Linked DNA regions of Macaca fascicularis. The main gene of each other region encodes a partner of the protein of the gene in region 2 in a complex. Links are inferred from orthologs where the notes say so. Each region holds a gene or a part of one and is shown on either strand. Other genes may lie near its edges.

Region 1 (6,597 bases), on a different chromosome or scaffold from region 2:
TCTGTAATTCCATCTGAGCTCTATTTCCATTTCTTCCCTTTCCAGAGAAGTAAAGACTTGTTATAGTTGAGGAAAAAGAAGAAAGGCTTAGTCCTTTCCTCTTTCATGCCAGAAACTTAACCAAAGGGGTCAGATCTACTTATTCAATGGCTTTCAGAGGAGATATGCAGGAAGCCCCATGGAAGCGGGAAGGCCTAGGGCTACCTTTCTGAGGTTCAAGAGACCAGGAAGAGCTCCATACACCAAATATCTTTAGAACTTAGGTAAGTTAAATATTACTCTATTTAGTGCAATTTAATTAACCTGCACCATATTATTATGGAAATCTTGTATTACTTTTAATGGCAAAAATTGCAATTACTTTTGCACCAACGTAGTAAATAGTGTGCATTGTCTTTCCCATAGATAGCCACTGCTGCATTAGGGAAATCTGTGTGCAGGAAGGTATTGATGGTTTGGTACCTCCCTATCAGCAGGTTAAGAGCAAATATTACAAGGGTACCCTGGGGCTGAAGTAATTAAAAGCATTAAACATTATAATTTTGCACATAAATGCTATGCAAAAAAGACATTGATTAATCCAGTGTACTCAACAGTGGTTTTTTACCATAAACAGTCTTTGTCTGGGACAGTATTTTAGAATATTCATCAGTTTCCAAAAAAGGGACTTAATACTGGGACATAATTCTGACTACTACTCTCACTGGAAGTATGGATTGGGTCTGAAAATGTGTCATTAAATTAGGCTCTAAGACAAGTTAATCTAATAAAGTAAAGAACCCGGGAGATGTGGCTCGTGTCTGTTAAAGACAAAATCATGCTGAAGTTACAGAGAATTTTGTTTAACATTGGCTTATACTTTATTCCTGCTTCGTATAAAACAGTCTTCTCCCAAAGGTCGTAAATACCAAAGTAGATCATTTCTACTAGTTCTGCAGGCAAATGAAGGTAGTTGGAAGTGTACACAGGAAATCTATGCAAGGGAGAATCAGAAAAATCTCATGAGCATGTGCTGAATACAATTTCAGTAGTCGGGAGTGGTGGCTCATGCCTATAATCCCAGCACTTTGGGAAGGTGAGGGGGGCGGATCGCCTGAGGTCAGGAGTTTGAGACCAGCCTGGCCAACATGGTGAAACCCTGTCTCTATAACAAATACAAAAATTAGCCGGGCATTGTGGTGGGTGCCTGTAATCCCAGCTACTTGAGATGCTGAGGCAGGAGAATCGCTTGAACTCAGGAGGCAGAGGTTGCAGTGGGCCAAGATCCCTCCACTGCACTCCATCCGGGTGACAATAGCAAGACTTTGTCTCAAAAACAACAACAAAAAAAAAAACCACATACACAATATTAAAGGATAAATATGGTTGCAAATTGGGCAGGTTATGGTCTGAGTTATTTCTTAAGACACTGCAACAAGTCAGATGCGTCATAAGCACAGATGTCTCCAGGAGCCAGGCAGGTGACATTACTGAACAGACAGGATGAAAGTCAAGAGGCAGAGATGGAGTCAGAGAACAGCCCTGAGCTAGAGCCCTTTCCACAGATGGAGCTTTACTCAGCTCTAATTGATACAACACAGTAATGGAGACACAGTGCACCAATCAACATCATGCGATTTTTAAAGATAAGACAGTGATGAAAACTTTTAGTGAACTATTCCAATGTCAAACGTTATCTTCCAAACCAAACATTATAAATAGCACTGTGTAGGCTGAAAAGAAACACTGTTTAGTCAAGTACATGCCCTGGGGCTGCGGTCTCTGTCTTTTGCCTCATACTATAGACACTTGAGTGCAAATCTTTCTACCCAGTGTGACTGTCAGCATCACAGAGGGGATACTCTACGTATCATTCACCTTTACATTCTCATCACCTACAAAAATGATCTCCACACAATATACATGAAAAAACAAACTCGCCTCATGATAAAGCTGCTAATGACTGTCGGCCAGAGCAGGACTTCAAGGCAGAACACTATTAGCTGCACATTGAGTCCTCGCCAGGTCCCCTTTGTGTCCACATTTACCTAGGGACTCCAGTGATAAAATTACTGCATTTCTAAATGACAGGAAAATTGGATGGTAGCAAAAATTATGCAGATTAATGGTTGGAAAGTATATGATATCATTTAAGGATCTAATTTCAATTTTCTAATCTCAAAGCTAGACCACCAGATTTAACATCTCTTAGTACCCACGACTTACCCCTGCAATTCACTTCCCACCTCCATACAATCTCCCCACATGCCCAGAATGTTCATCTCTTCCCGAAAGCCCCTGAAAACCCCCTGCTTTTACCTTAGGACCCTGCTGCAATGAAACTTTTTTTTTAACTCTTCCTTGTCCCTCAAGCCAAGTGATTTCCTTCACCCTCAGTGTCCCCATGAAATCATGTTCACACAAGTGCAATTACCTCTCTCACACTGTAATTCAATTATATGTCTACAATTACCTTCCTGTGTTTCTCTGAGGGCCAAGAATAAGTGTATGCTTTGTGTATCAAACTGTACATTTGATTTCTATACTTTCAGGAACACAGTGCTCTGTCCTTAAATGTTCATTTTGTAAATACAGAACCATTTTCTTGTTAATATCACAAAATGAAACTTATCAGGAAGATGAATGACAACCCCAGAACACACTGTTTTGTAGAAAATACCATAGGCTGAAAAGAACACAGGAATACCAAGTGCTAGGCTGGAATCTTTCATGACACCAAATGTTCATTCATTCTCTCCCAGATTTTACGACTTTCCTCAGTGTATTTTTAGGTTGTGTAACTTTACACAAAGTGGAAGCAATAATGAGAGCAAGACTTAAAAGAAAGTGAATCCAATGCAAGAGGAGAAAAGGAAAACCCTCAAATATGTGAAGCAGATTGTTTTAATAATCTACAGAATCTTGTGTCTCAAGAAGTTAATAGCTCAAGTTTCCAGCAAAGAGTGGTGGATGAGATGGAGAGCATTTGTGTGAGAGAGAACCAAGGATATTACTAACAATGAAAGGCAAGCTGGCTTCCTCCTGGGCAAACAGCCCTCTGTGGCTCTATTTGTTCTAACTACTATGCCCTGCCTTCGTGCACTTTGGTCATTTAGGGGCCTGCCAGAGGACAGTTACAAAATCTGTGGTCATTCTGCAGGCAACATATAGTTTTCATCCAGAGTCCAGATCCAACCAGCAAAACTCTGTCTTACACAGAATGACTTGGAATTAGAGTCCTCATAGCAGAAAGAGCAGCAGGGCTATCCTTGGGTATCCATTGCTCAGCCAAGTTATCAAATAAAAAGGCTGATTGATGGGCCAGACCCGGTGGCTCAAGCCTGTAATCCCAGCACTTTGGGAGGCCAAGACGGGCGGATCACGAGGTCAGGAGATCGAGACCATCCTGGCTAACATGGTGAAACCCCGTCTCTACTAAAAAATACAAAAAACTAGCCGAGCGAGGTGGCGGGCGCCTGTAGTCCCAGCTACTCAGGAGGCTGAGGCAGGAGAATGGCGTAAACCCGGGAGGCAGAGCTTGCAGTGAGTTGAGATCTGGCCACTGCACTCCAGCCTGGGTGACAGAGCGAGACTCCATCTCAAAAAAAAAAAAAAAATCTGATTGCACAAGCGGACTATGTACCCATCTGTGGGTTTCTACAAGGCCAAGAGTCAGACCCTCCCTCCTGGCTCTGCTGGCCCAACCCACCAGGAGATGCTTTATTTAAACAGTTCCAAGTAGGGAAGAACAGTTGCCCCTGAAGGCCAGAACAACCAGCTGGATCAGTTCTCACAGGAGCCGCAGCGCGGAGACTGGGTAAGTCAGCAATCCCCAGAGCTGGGACAGGAGGGGCAGCGACCGGGCAGCACCTGAGGAAGAGGTGGGCTGAACTTAGTGCTTAGGAGATGTGGCCCACTTTGGGGACAGGAAGAAAAAGGAAATGGGACCCCAGAGTGGCAGCAGAGGGGCCTGTGGGGTGAGACACCGGATGGGGGAGTAGTTACTTCTCTTCTTTTCTCACAGGAAAACATGGTTCCAAAACTGTTCACTTCCCCAATTTGTCTGCTTCTTCTGTTGGGGCTTATGGGTGTGGAAGGCTCACTTCATGCCAAACCCGGACAATTTACCTGGGCTCAGTGGTTTGAAATCCAGCATATAAATATGACCTCTGGCCAATGCACCAATGCAATGCTGGTAATTAACAATTATCAACGGCGATGCAAAAATCAAAATACTTTTCTTCTTACAACTTTTGCTGATGTAGTTCATGTCTGTGGTAACCCAAGCATGCCCTGCCCTAGCAACACAAGTCTCAACAATTGTCATCATAGTGGAGTCCAGGTGCCTTTAATCCACTGTAACCTCACAACTCCAAGTCGAAGGATTTCAAATTGCAGGTATACACAGACAACAGCAAACAAGTACTACATAGTTGCATGTAACAACAGCGATCCAGTACGGGACCCTCCACAGTATCCAGTGGTTCCAGTTCACTTGGATAGAGTCATCTAAGCTCCTGTATCAGCACTCCTCATCATCACTCATCTGCCAAGCTCCTCAATCATAGCCAAGATCCCATCCCTCCATGTACCCTGGGTATCAGCATCTGTCCTCATCAGTATCCATACCCCTTCAGGTTTCCTGAGCTGAAGTCCCTTGTGAACCCTGCAATAAACTGCTTTGCAAATTCATCTGGAAGTGTCTGTGTGTCTTCTTTGGCCACTCTGCTGTCATTTAGTGACAATCTACTCCAGAAATTTTTCTTTCCTCTAACCTGAGACTTGTGGGAAATAGAGATTTGAGGATAAGAGACTCTTTCTGTCATGAAGTAGCACAGACTTATCCCTCTCCCTGCTTTAGGTTGAGAAGCTGAGGTCACAACTGATATCGACCAACTGTCGAAGACTCTTGCTTTGATCAAGCTTTAGTCATCTCCTCTGAACCCTCATCATAACTAGGTCATCCTGTTGGACTTACTAGTCCTTCCTTGTAGAGTCATTTATAATTACTTTTATTTTTATTCTTTTTTTTTTTTTTTTTTTTTTTTTTTTTTTTGAGACAGAGTCTCGCTCTGTTGCCCAGATTGGAGTGCAGTGGCGAGATCTCGGCTCACTCCAAACTCCACCTTCTGGGTTCAAGCGATTCTCCTTCCTCAGTCTCCCAAGTAGCTGGGGTTACAGGTACGTGCCATCACATCCAGCCAATTTTTGTAATTTTTAGAGAGTGGGTTTCAACATGTTGGCCAGGCTGGTCTCCAACTTCTGACCTTAGGCAATCCACCCTCCTCAGCCTCCCAACATGCTGGGATCAGAGGCATGAGCCACCAGTACCAGACCTAAAGTTAGGTTTTACAGAAGTCCTCCTAACTTGGTTTGTCATGAATCTCTCATCCTCAATATTTGACCAAATTCCTTAATTCCCCCATCATTCTCCATGTGATACCTGATTCCTGGCCTGACTTCAAAAAAAACCAAAAATCCAATTACATCAACCTAGCATTGGTCTCCCTAGTCTTGATATCTCCTCTAGGCAATTTTCCATCCGCTGACCCCTCCCCACACACCAACCTATAACTTGACTCTAGATCTCCACTTGTTTTAGTTGTATTTCACCATTGAGCCCAATTTGATACTGAGGTCCCATTTGATGCTTTATGGTATAAGTTTGGTTTTTATTGACATGATTTCTATCCCAAGATATATAGGAGCTGCAGTGAATAAGCTGAAAATGCACGTGTTTCATTATGATTTATGAATGATAAATTTTGATAGGATTGAACGTTATGATAGAAAACACAAAAACAGAAAGTAGAAAAAGTCAAGAATGCTATAAATAAGGTGAAATCAAGATTTTAAAAAAAGTTTAGCCTCAGAGATATTCCTTTTAAATGAGCACATCAAATCTCCAGCTATTAGCAATTGTACTAGACGTGGATCCAAGGTTTGAGTCAAATGTGCAATAAGATAAATTGTTCAGACAGCAATAGGGACAGATTGTAATACCGCCTGGAAGAGAGATGGGCATCTTTCCCAAAACTTCCATGTCCTGGAGATGGGGAGCCGCTGGTCACGTGGGAAGGGGAAGGGGAAAGAGGAGGACGCGGAAGTGGGAACACTCATGAAGGTGAGATGACTCCTGCCCATTCTGCCCTCCATAGCTATCCGCAATGGTGAGTCAAAGGGTTCATTCAACACCTGTCAGGAAGGGCACAGCCTCAAGAAGTAGGGATTTGTAGACCCAGAGAGAGAAGAAATGGATAATAAGAGCCCTTGCCCTGGCCTCCATTACAGGGCTTCACTCAGGAATCCATGAGAAACAGGAAGGGGAAGCCCTTTCTTGCAAGCTGTGGACAGGTGCAGCACTCAGATGATTGTGCCGGGGACAGAGTGGGTCTTTTTGGATGGCCTGAGTCACAATACAACAGAGATACCACGTCATCAGATCTGCACCTTGGTCCTTCAGTCTGAGATTTCTGACTTCTATATTTCTGCTCCTCTTCTAGACCCTCAGAAACAGCAATTTCCATTCCTCAGATGACTCCATGTCAGTAATAGTGACTCTCATTGGCACCAGACAGCAGCTGTATTGAAGTCTCTCCTCAGGAGAAGCCATTGAGA
Region 2 (7,795 bases):
CCCCAGCTGCCCTTCAGAAAGACGGCCAACAGGACCGCTCGAGAGGCTCCTGGTGCCCCGACACCCCCAGCTGCCTGAGTCTGTGTGCCAGGCACTCCTCTTCCCGGGGCTGGTTCAGAGGCGGCTGGTCCACTCCGGATGAGTGGAGGGAAGAGGCCCCTGGTACCAACCAGGAGGAAAGAGGCAAGGCTGGGCTCGGGTCCACACGCCTGGGCGCCAGGCCTGCAAGGACAGTGGTAAAGGGCGGTGACACCCCATGGCCCCACGCGGAGGAACTGAATCCACCCGACCCGAAGCGCGTGAGCAAAACCGACCAGGGTGTGGTCACCCAAACTCTGACTCCAGAATCTAGTCATCGGGAGGTGCTGTGGACGGCAGTGGGGGTGGAAGGAGAGCCTCAGGCAGCTGCCCAGGCTGCACATGCTCCGCACATCCAGCCCGACACTCTTGTGTCCTCCATAGCCAGATGAAAGGTGGCCCCAGGGTGTCCTCCTCCTGGGAAAGCTTGGTGGGGGCTCAGGGAGGCCAGCGCTCCTGTGACCATCTGGAACTAGGGCTGTGGGAGTGGCCCCGTCCCCACCCCTCAGGCTTGGCCAGACCCTGCTGTATCCCAGGAAGGCCCTTCTGAACCTCTGTGGGTCACAGATCCCACTGAGAACCCCATGAAAATGCGGGTGTAAACGCCCTTCTCTGTGACTGGAGAAGGCCCTGGCTCCCTACACAGCCAGGGCTAAAGCACACTCAGGAACCCGCCACCACCAGCCAGCAGCCTGCTTTGGTCAAGGCAGAGGTCTGAACAGCGGCCCTAACGGTCCCTTATCCGGAAACCAGACCTTCCCAACCTTAGGGCGGGAGGTCTCCGCAGCGCCCAAGACCTGAGCCCCCCCGCCCCGGGGAGCCACACGGGAGGGGCCGTTCGGAGGCCAATTCAGGTCCTTCGGTTCCGACGTGATGGGGACGTGGACACGGCGACCTCCGAGGGGCGCAGGGCCACCCCCTAGGGAGACACGGGCCACGCTCAGGCGACGTGCAAACGTTCCTGGTCCCTGGGACCCCCGCCCGCGTCGAGTCCCTCGAACCCGCTAGTTCTGGACACCCTGCCGCATACTAAAGGGCTGGGAGGGAACCTCAGAAAAACACGGAGTGGGTCTCCCCTGCTTCTCTGCCCCCGCCCGCGCCCGCTCACCCGGCGCCGCCGCCGCAGACCCAAGGCCCGAGCCGCTTCGCGCTCCTTCCGCCCAGGCGGGGGCGGGCGGAGCCTCCAGCGTGCCCAGCTCAGTCCCCGGGCCTCGTTCCAGTTACTACCCCAGCTTCCCCACTCCCCCCTCGGTTGGGGGTGAAGCCTGACGTCCGCATCCCGTTTCCCACCGTCTGCCCCCAACCAGCCTTTCCACTTAATCTCCCGGAACCGGCGCCTGCACCCGCCTTCCCCCAGACCATCCCTCCAGCTCTGGCAGCCCCTGCCTCCTCCCACAAACAGGCCGGATTCCAAGAATTCCCCAAACACTAAAATAAAGCAAACCTGAGATACTCCTTTTTGCTACCAGACTGGAGATCATGGAACAGATTGACGATGATTTGTTGCGGCTGACGCGAAATGGGCGAGGCTGTGAGGAGAGGTTTTGGAGAGCCGCTGGGCCCTCCTGAAAACTTTGGACACACCCTCCGTTTCTATCAGTCAAGAGTTCTGGCCGGGCGCGGTGGCTCAAGCCTGTAATCCCAGCACTTTGGGAGGCCGAGACGGGTGGATCACGAGGTCAGGAGATAGAGACCATCCTGGCTAACACGGTGAAACCTTGTCTCTACTAAAAAATACCAAAAAAAAAACTAGCCGGGCGAGGTGGCGGCCGCTTGTAGTCCCAGCTACTCGGGAGGCTGAGGCAGGAGAATGGCATGAACCCAGGAGGCGGAACTTGCAGTGAGCTGAGATCTGGCCAAAACCAATGTATATCTTTTTTTTTTTTTTTTTTTTTTTTGAGATGGAGTCTCGCTCTGTCGCCCAGGCTGGAGTGCAGTGGCCGGATCTCAGCTCACTGCAAGCTCTGCCTCCCGGGTTTACGCCATTCTCCTGCCTCAGCCTCCCGAGTAGCTGGGACTACAGGCGCCTGCCACCTTGCCCAGCTAGTTTTTTGTATTTTTTAGTAGAGACGGGGTTTCACCGTGTTAGCCAAGATGGTCTCGATCTCCTGACCTTGTGATCCACCCGTCTCGGCCTCCCAAAGTGCTGGGATTACAGGCTTGAGCCACCGCGCCCGGCCCACCAATGTATATCTTAAATGTATTTCATTGATGCCTCATATCTCTCTAAAACGTATAAAATCAAGCTGCCCCAACCACCTTGGACACATGTTCCCAGGATCTCCACCGGCCGCAGTCACTCATTTTTGGTTCCGAATTAATCCCTTCAAATATTTTACATTTTAACTATTATTATCAACAGTACCTTTTTAAAAATAAGAATGGCCCTGAAAGATGTCAACATCCGAATCTTCAAACCTGTGGTGTTACCTTACGTGGCAAAAGGGACTTTGCAAATATTAGGAATATTGAGATGTGAAGGCTATCCTGGGGTATCTGGGCGGCCGGCATATTATCGTGAGGGTTCTTATGCAGAGACAGCAGGTTTTGAAGATGGAAGAAGATGGCCTCTAGAAGTTGGAAAAGCAGATTTTCCTTGGGAACCTCCAGAAGCAACTACCCTTGCCAACACCTTGATTTTAACCTCCTAAAACTCACTTTGGGCTTCTGAGCTTCAGGCCTGTAAAACAACCTATCTATGGCAAATTCGTTATAGCAGGGATGAGACAATAGCTCACTGCAGCCTCCTCCTCCAGGGCTCAAGCCATCCTCCTGCCTCAGCGTCCCAAGTAGCTGGGACTACAGGCGTTCACTACCACAACTGGCTAATTTTTTCCATTTTTTTGTAGAGACGGGGGTCTCACTATGTTGGCCAGGCTGGTCGCAAACTCCCGGGCTCAAGAGATCCGCCCGCCTTGGCCTCCCTAAGTGCTGGGATTACAGGCTGCACCAGCGCATCCAGCCAAATGTAACCTTTTTTTTTTTTTCCTGAGACGGAGTTTCACTCTTGTCACCCAGGCTGGAGTGCAGTGGCATCATCTCGGCTCACTGCAACCTCCGCCTCCTGAGTTCAAGCGATTCTCCTACCTCAACCTCCCAAGTAGCTGGGATTACAGGCGCCTGCCACCACGCCCGGCTAATTTTGTATTTTTAGTAGAGACGGGGTTTCACCACGTTGGCCAGGCTGTTCCTGAACTCCTGACCTCAGGTGATCCGCCCGCCTCGCACTCCCAAAATCCTGGGATTACAGGGGTGAGCCACTACGCCCGGCCCCAATGTAACTCTTAACGGCAATATCGTGTGCAGTCTCCCGCTCGTATTCGGTTTACTCGACCAATCGCTAAGACGACACTTGAGACTGTTTTCATATCTTTAGGCTTTCCACCATCCTAGAAAGGGGCCTTGCCTGGTTCTAAGGCCGTTCTGAAACACTACCCAACTGTCCTCGGGAAACGGTGCAGAAATCCTCTGGTTTCCCCCAAGGCGCGTGGGCACCTTGGCTGGAACCTCGCCCAATAACACGATGTGCCTGGGGCCCCTTCATCATTTCCGCCAACCCTGGTTACAGCCCTGACGCCGGCCCCTAAGAGCCGTTCCAGTTCTGTCGCTCTCCTCCCCGCAGCCCCAGGCGGTAGCTTCGCGGCCCGGCGTCCGGTCTCCCGGTGGTCCCAGAGCGAGGCTCCGCAATGGAGGGCGAAGGACCCTCCCTCCCCGACCTCGCACGACCGAGACCGCCCACCTTTCCCCCAACGCCCGGCGGTGGGAGCCGTTCGAGTCTTCTCCGCCAGAGCGGTCCTTCCCGGGAGGCCGGTTCTTTGGGGGAATAAGGTCAAGGGTTACGTGATTTGGGGAAGAAAGCTCGGCTGGACCAAGATTGCTTGCGCAGCTCGCTGGAATCTAAGGCACTAGGGGGCACGACGGCCACGCGAGAACGACCCAAGTAGGCGCAGCACCGCCCCCCGCCCCGCGCAGGGACTTCCGGCGCGCCCCAAAGGGGAGCTCGCGGCGCGATGACGTCTTCAGGGAGCGCCACATCCGCCGGGCGGCGCATCTGCCCAGCGCAACCTTGCCGGCCCCAGACCCCTGCCCCGCCCGACCCCGCCCCGCCGCGGGAGCGCGCCACTCGCCCGCGCAGCAGGGGCCTCAGTAGCGCTAGGCGCGCGTCTTCCGAAAGCCCGACCGAGGCCGGCGTGGGCGAGGCCTGGCTACAGGCTGACGCACCGCTGGAGCTACTGACCTCGGGACGACTGGCGGACGGTCGCAGGCCTGGAGACCCAGAGCGAGACGGCCGACTTCCTTCTCGAGCCAGCAGAACGGGTTGAATGTGTCGACACCTCCAGCCGCCAGAGTCAGCGGCGCGGGCGTGTTGGAGCCGGCTGGTGGGCGCGGTCAGGTGCGGGGGCGGGGACTACTGGGCGGGGCTCGGCGCAGGGGCGGGGCCTGATGGGCGCAGTCTCGGTGCGGGGGCGGGGCCTAGAGGGCATGGCTCGGCTCGGGGGCGGGGCTCGGCGAAGTACAGTCGGCGCAGGGGCGGGGCTCGTGGGGCGAGGCTCGATGCGGGGGCGAGAGGGTCTCGTGGGGACGGGGGTCTCCCTAGTAGGCGGGGCTTGGTGCTGGGGGCGGGGCCTGGCGGGCCCGTGCTGTGGCCTCGCACTGGCAGACACTTCTCGGCGATTCCTCAGAATCCTCGGAGGAGGCGGCCAGACCCGGAGCGGCAGCGCCGTGGAGGCGGAGTCGCAGGCGCAGGTCGGGCCTGGCTGGGGCGCGGAGCGCGGCCCCCGGAGAAAGCGGCGGCCTCGGGACAGGAGGGACCCGGGAGAAGCCCCCCTGGGGCGGCTCCGCATGTCGGGGTCGCGCCTCTAGGCGACCTTGGTAGAGGGGCTCCTTTGCGCCGAGATCGCGACCCTCGAGGGAGCCACGGCCCGGTGATCCACGCTGCCCGTCCCGGCCATTGGCTGCGCCTTTGTTTCGTGGGACCCCAGCCCGCAAGGCCTGCAGAGCTGCGGACCCAGCTCTCATCGCGGACCCAGCTGCTCCCGCGTCCATTCTGCGGCCAAGACACCCGAGCGCCGCCCGGAGCCCCGGTACTGAGGGGCGCAGGCCGAGTTCCAGACTAGCCTGGGAAACGCAAAGCGACCCCACCTCCACAAAAGTGGGTTTACTTTAAGTTTTTGACTAGTCCCCAGTTCACAAAATTGACATTTTGGCAGATGAAGATTGCAAGGAAACTGACGGTACGTCAGATTTGTTCTTTAGCAATTTGCTAAACCTCTTCTCTGACTGCCTTTATTATGTATTTATTTTCCAGACAAGGTCTTACTCCGCTGCTTAGGCTGCACTGCAGTGGCGTGATCCCAGCTCACTGCAGCCTCCACCTCTCGGACTCCAGCGATCCTCCCGCCTCAGCCTCCCAAGTAGCTGGGACCACAGGCGCCAGCACGCCTGGCTTATTGTTTTATTTTATGTAGAGAAGAGGTCTCCCTGTGTTGCCCAGGCTGGTCTTGAATTGGGCTCAAGTGATCCTCCTGCTTCAGCCTCCCATAGCGCTGGAATTACTGGCAGGAGCCACTGTATCCGGCTTGATCATCTTTAAAGAAGGTGGTTCTGGCCGGGCGCAGTGGCTCACATCTGTAATCCCAACACTTTGGGAGGCTGAGGAGGGTAGATCACCTGAGGTCAGGAGTTCAAGACCAACCTGGCCAACATGGTAAAAACCTGTCTTTACTAAAAATACAAAAATTAGCCAGGCGTGGTGGCGGGCACCTGTAATCCCAGCTATTCGGGAGGCTGAGGCGGGAGAATCGCTTGAACACGAGAGGCAGAGTTGCACTGAGGCTAGACCACACCATTGTACTCCAGCCTGGGCAACAAGATGAAACTCTGGCTGGGCACAGTGGCTCATACCTGTAATCCCAGCACTTTGGGAGGCCAAGGCAGGCAGATCACCTGAGGTCAGGAGTTTGAGACCAGCCTGGCTAGCATGACAAAACCCCATCTCTATTAAAAATACAAAAAATTAGCCAGGCATGGTGGTGCTTGCCTGTAATCCCAGCTACTTGGGAGGCTGAGGCAGGAGAATCACTTGAACCCAGGAGGCAGAGGTTGCAGTGAGCCAAGATCATGCCACTGCACTCCAGCCTGGGCAACAAGAGTGAAACTCCGTCTCAAAAAAGAAAAAAAAAAAAGAAACTGTCTCACAAAAAAAGAAGGTGGTTCACACACACACACCCCCCCAGGAAAGCTCAGGGCCGGAAGGCAGCCAACCTGGCCGTGACCCTCATCCTGCACACATGAGCTTGGTGACCAGTAGCTGATTCTTTAACCCTCTAAGCTTTGGAGTCTGGATGTGAGGTTTAAAATTCATGACAAGAAGCTGGAAGGATGCCTCCAGCCTGACTCCTGGACTGGTTCTCTTGACCACTTCAAGAATGACATCTTTGCGAAAGCTGCTAAAATGTTCTGGTTTCATTTCATTCTTTTCTATGCCATGACCTCTTAGATTTGTTCCTGGCAATTCTCATAAGAGTGAAGGAAATGTTTAAAGTGGCTGTTTGGGCTTCCTTTTGTGACACCCTGTGGGGAAGGTGCCCAGGTATGTATGGGTGCTGAGTGTGTGGCCAGCACGGTGTCTGTGGCTGGGCCTCCCTCCTGGACAGTGCGGCCACAGCCCCTGAAAGGTGTGTCTTCATTTTTATTTATTTTTATTTTATTTTATTTATTTATTTTTTGAGATGGAGTTTTGCTTTGTTTCCCAGGCTGGAGTACAGTAGCGCCATCTCGGCTCACTGCAAGCTCCGCCTCCCGGGTTCACGCCATTCTCCTGCCTCAGCCTGCCGAGCAGCTGGTACTACAGGTGCCCGCCACCATGCCCGGCTAACTTTTTGTATTTTTAGTAGAGACAGGGTTTCACCGTGTTAGCCAGAATGGTCTCAATCTCCTGACCTTGTGATTCGCTCGCCTCTGCCTCCCAAAGTGCTAGGATTACAGGCGTGAGCCACCGTGCCCGGACTTCATTTTTATTTTTGAACTTACTTGGCTCACCTAGTTATGTCTTTATCTTGTTTTTTAACTTACCCAGTTCACCCAGTGTGGAATTAGGAGTATATGGACATATTCCCGCCCCCAGTTTTATATACCGCCCCAGAGCTGACTACTCTTGGTCGCTTCTGCTAGGTCCTGGCCGACTCGAATGTGCCTTTCCTCCTGATCCTGTGCCACACAGGGCTGAGGGATGCTACCCTCTCCTTCTTCACCTGCCCCTCCCTCACATATCTAGCCCCACCAGGCTACATGTTAGCTTAAAGAGGGAGCTTTCACATTCCCCATGAAAGGGAATCCAGGGGCAGGCTGAGGCAGGAGACCCCCAGTGTTCATGAGATGCCATTCTAGAGAAAGCACTGTGGTGCTGAAGGCCTCAGTCAGACCCCAGGGAGAGATGCCCCAGGGTGACTTTGGGTGGAGAGTCCTGTGCCTGTTCTACTTCTATAAAAATATCCAGGCCGCCGGGCGCGGTGGCTCACGCCTGTAATCCCAGCACTTTGGGAGGCCGAGGCGGGCGGATCACAAGGTCAGGAGATTGAGACCACGGTGAAACCCCATCTCTACTAAAAATACAAAAAAAAATTAGCCAGGCACGGTGGCGGGTGCCTGTAGTCCAGCTACTCAGGAGGCTGAGGCAGGAGAATGGCGTAAACCCGGGAGGCGGAGCTTGCAGTGA

The links.
Region 1: the proteins of RNH1 (region 2) and RNASE2 are in contact, whole or in part, in a crystal structure (PDB 2BEX), measured with the Homo sapiens proteins. The link is inferred for Macaca fascicularis from reciprocal best matches to the Homo sapiens genes RNH1 and RNASE2. Residues at the interface, in NP_002930.2 of Homo sapiens: Gln11, Cys12, Arg34, Asp36, Asp37, Arg64, Ser65, Gln93, Asn94, Asp122, Gln148, Glu150, Tyr151, Thr176, Lys205, Trp262, Trp264, Glu265, Trp319, Lys321, Gln347, Ser349, Asn350, Trp376, Ala378, Asp379, Glu402, Asp404, Asn407, Cys409; in NP_002925.1 of Homo sapiens: Lys28, Trp34, Trp37, Gln41, His42, Ser47, Gln49, Thr51, Asn52, Gln55, Val56, Asn59, Gln61, Arg62, Arg63, Cys64, Lys65, Asn66, Gln67, Ser91, Asn92, Arg95, Asn97, Asn111, Leu112, Thr113, Thr114, Pro115, Asn119, Ile120.

What each region holds. Positions count from the first base shown.
Region 1 is NC_088381.1:88,600,665-88,607,261, forward strand, and holds RNASE2 (non-secretory ribonuclease), read left to right. Parts: upstream 1-3,729; 5' UTR 3,730-3,796; intron 3,797-4,003; 5' UTR 4,004-4,009; coding exon 4,010-4,492; 3' UTR 4,493-4,671; downstream 4,672-6,597.
Region 2 is NC_088388.1:402,557-410,351, forward strand, and holds the start of RNH1 (ribonuclease inhibitor), read right to left. Parts: upstream 4,040-7,795; 5' UTR 3,818-4,039; intron 2,649-3,817; 5' UTR 2,590-2,648; coding exon 2,509-2,589; intron 1,608-2,508; coding exon 1,523-1,607; intron 1,228-1,522; exon of another isoform or gene 1,187-1,227; intron 998-1,186; exon of another isoform or gene 843-997; intron 1-842. UniProt on the Homo sapiens protein: Ribonuclease inhibitor which inhibits RNASE1, RNASE2 and angiogenin (ANG). May play a role in redox homeostasis. Required to inhibit the cytotoxic tRNA ribonuclease activity of ANG in the cytoplasm in absence of stress.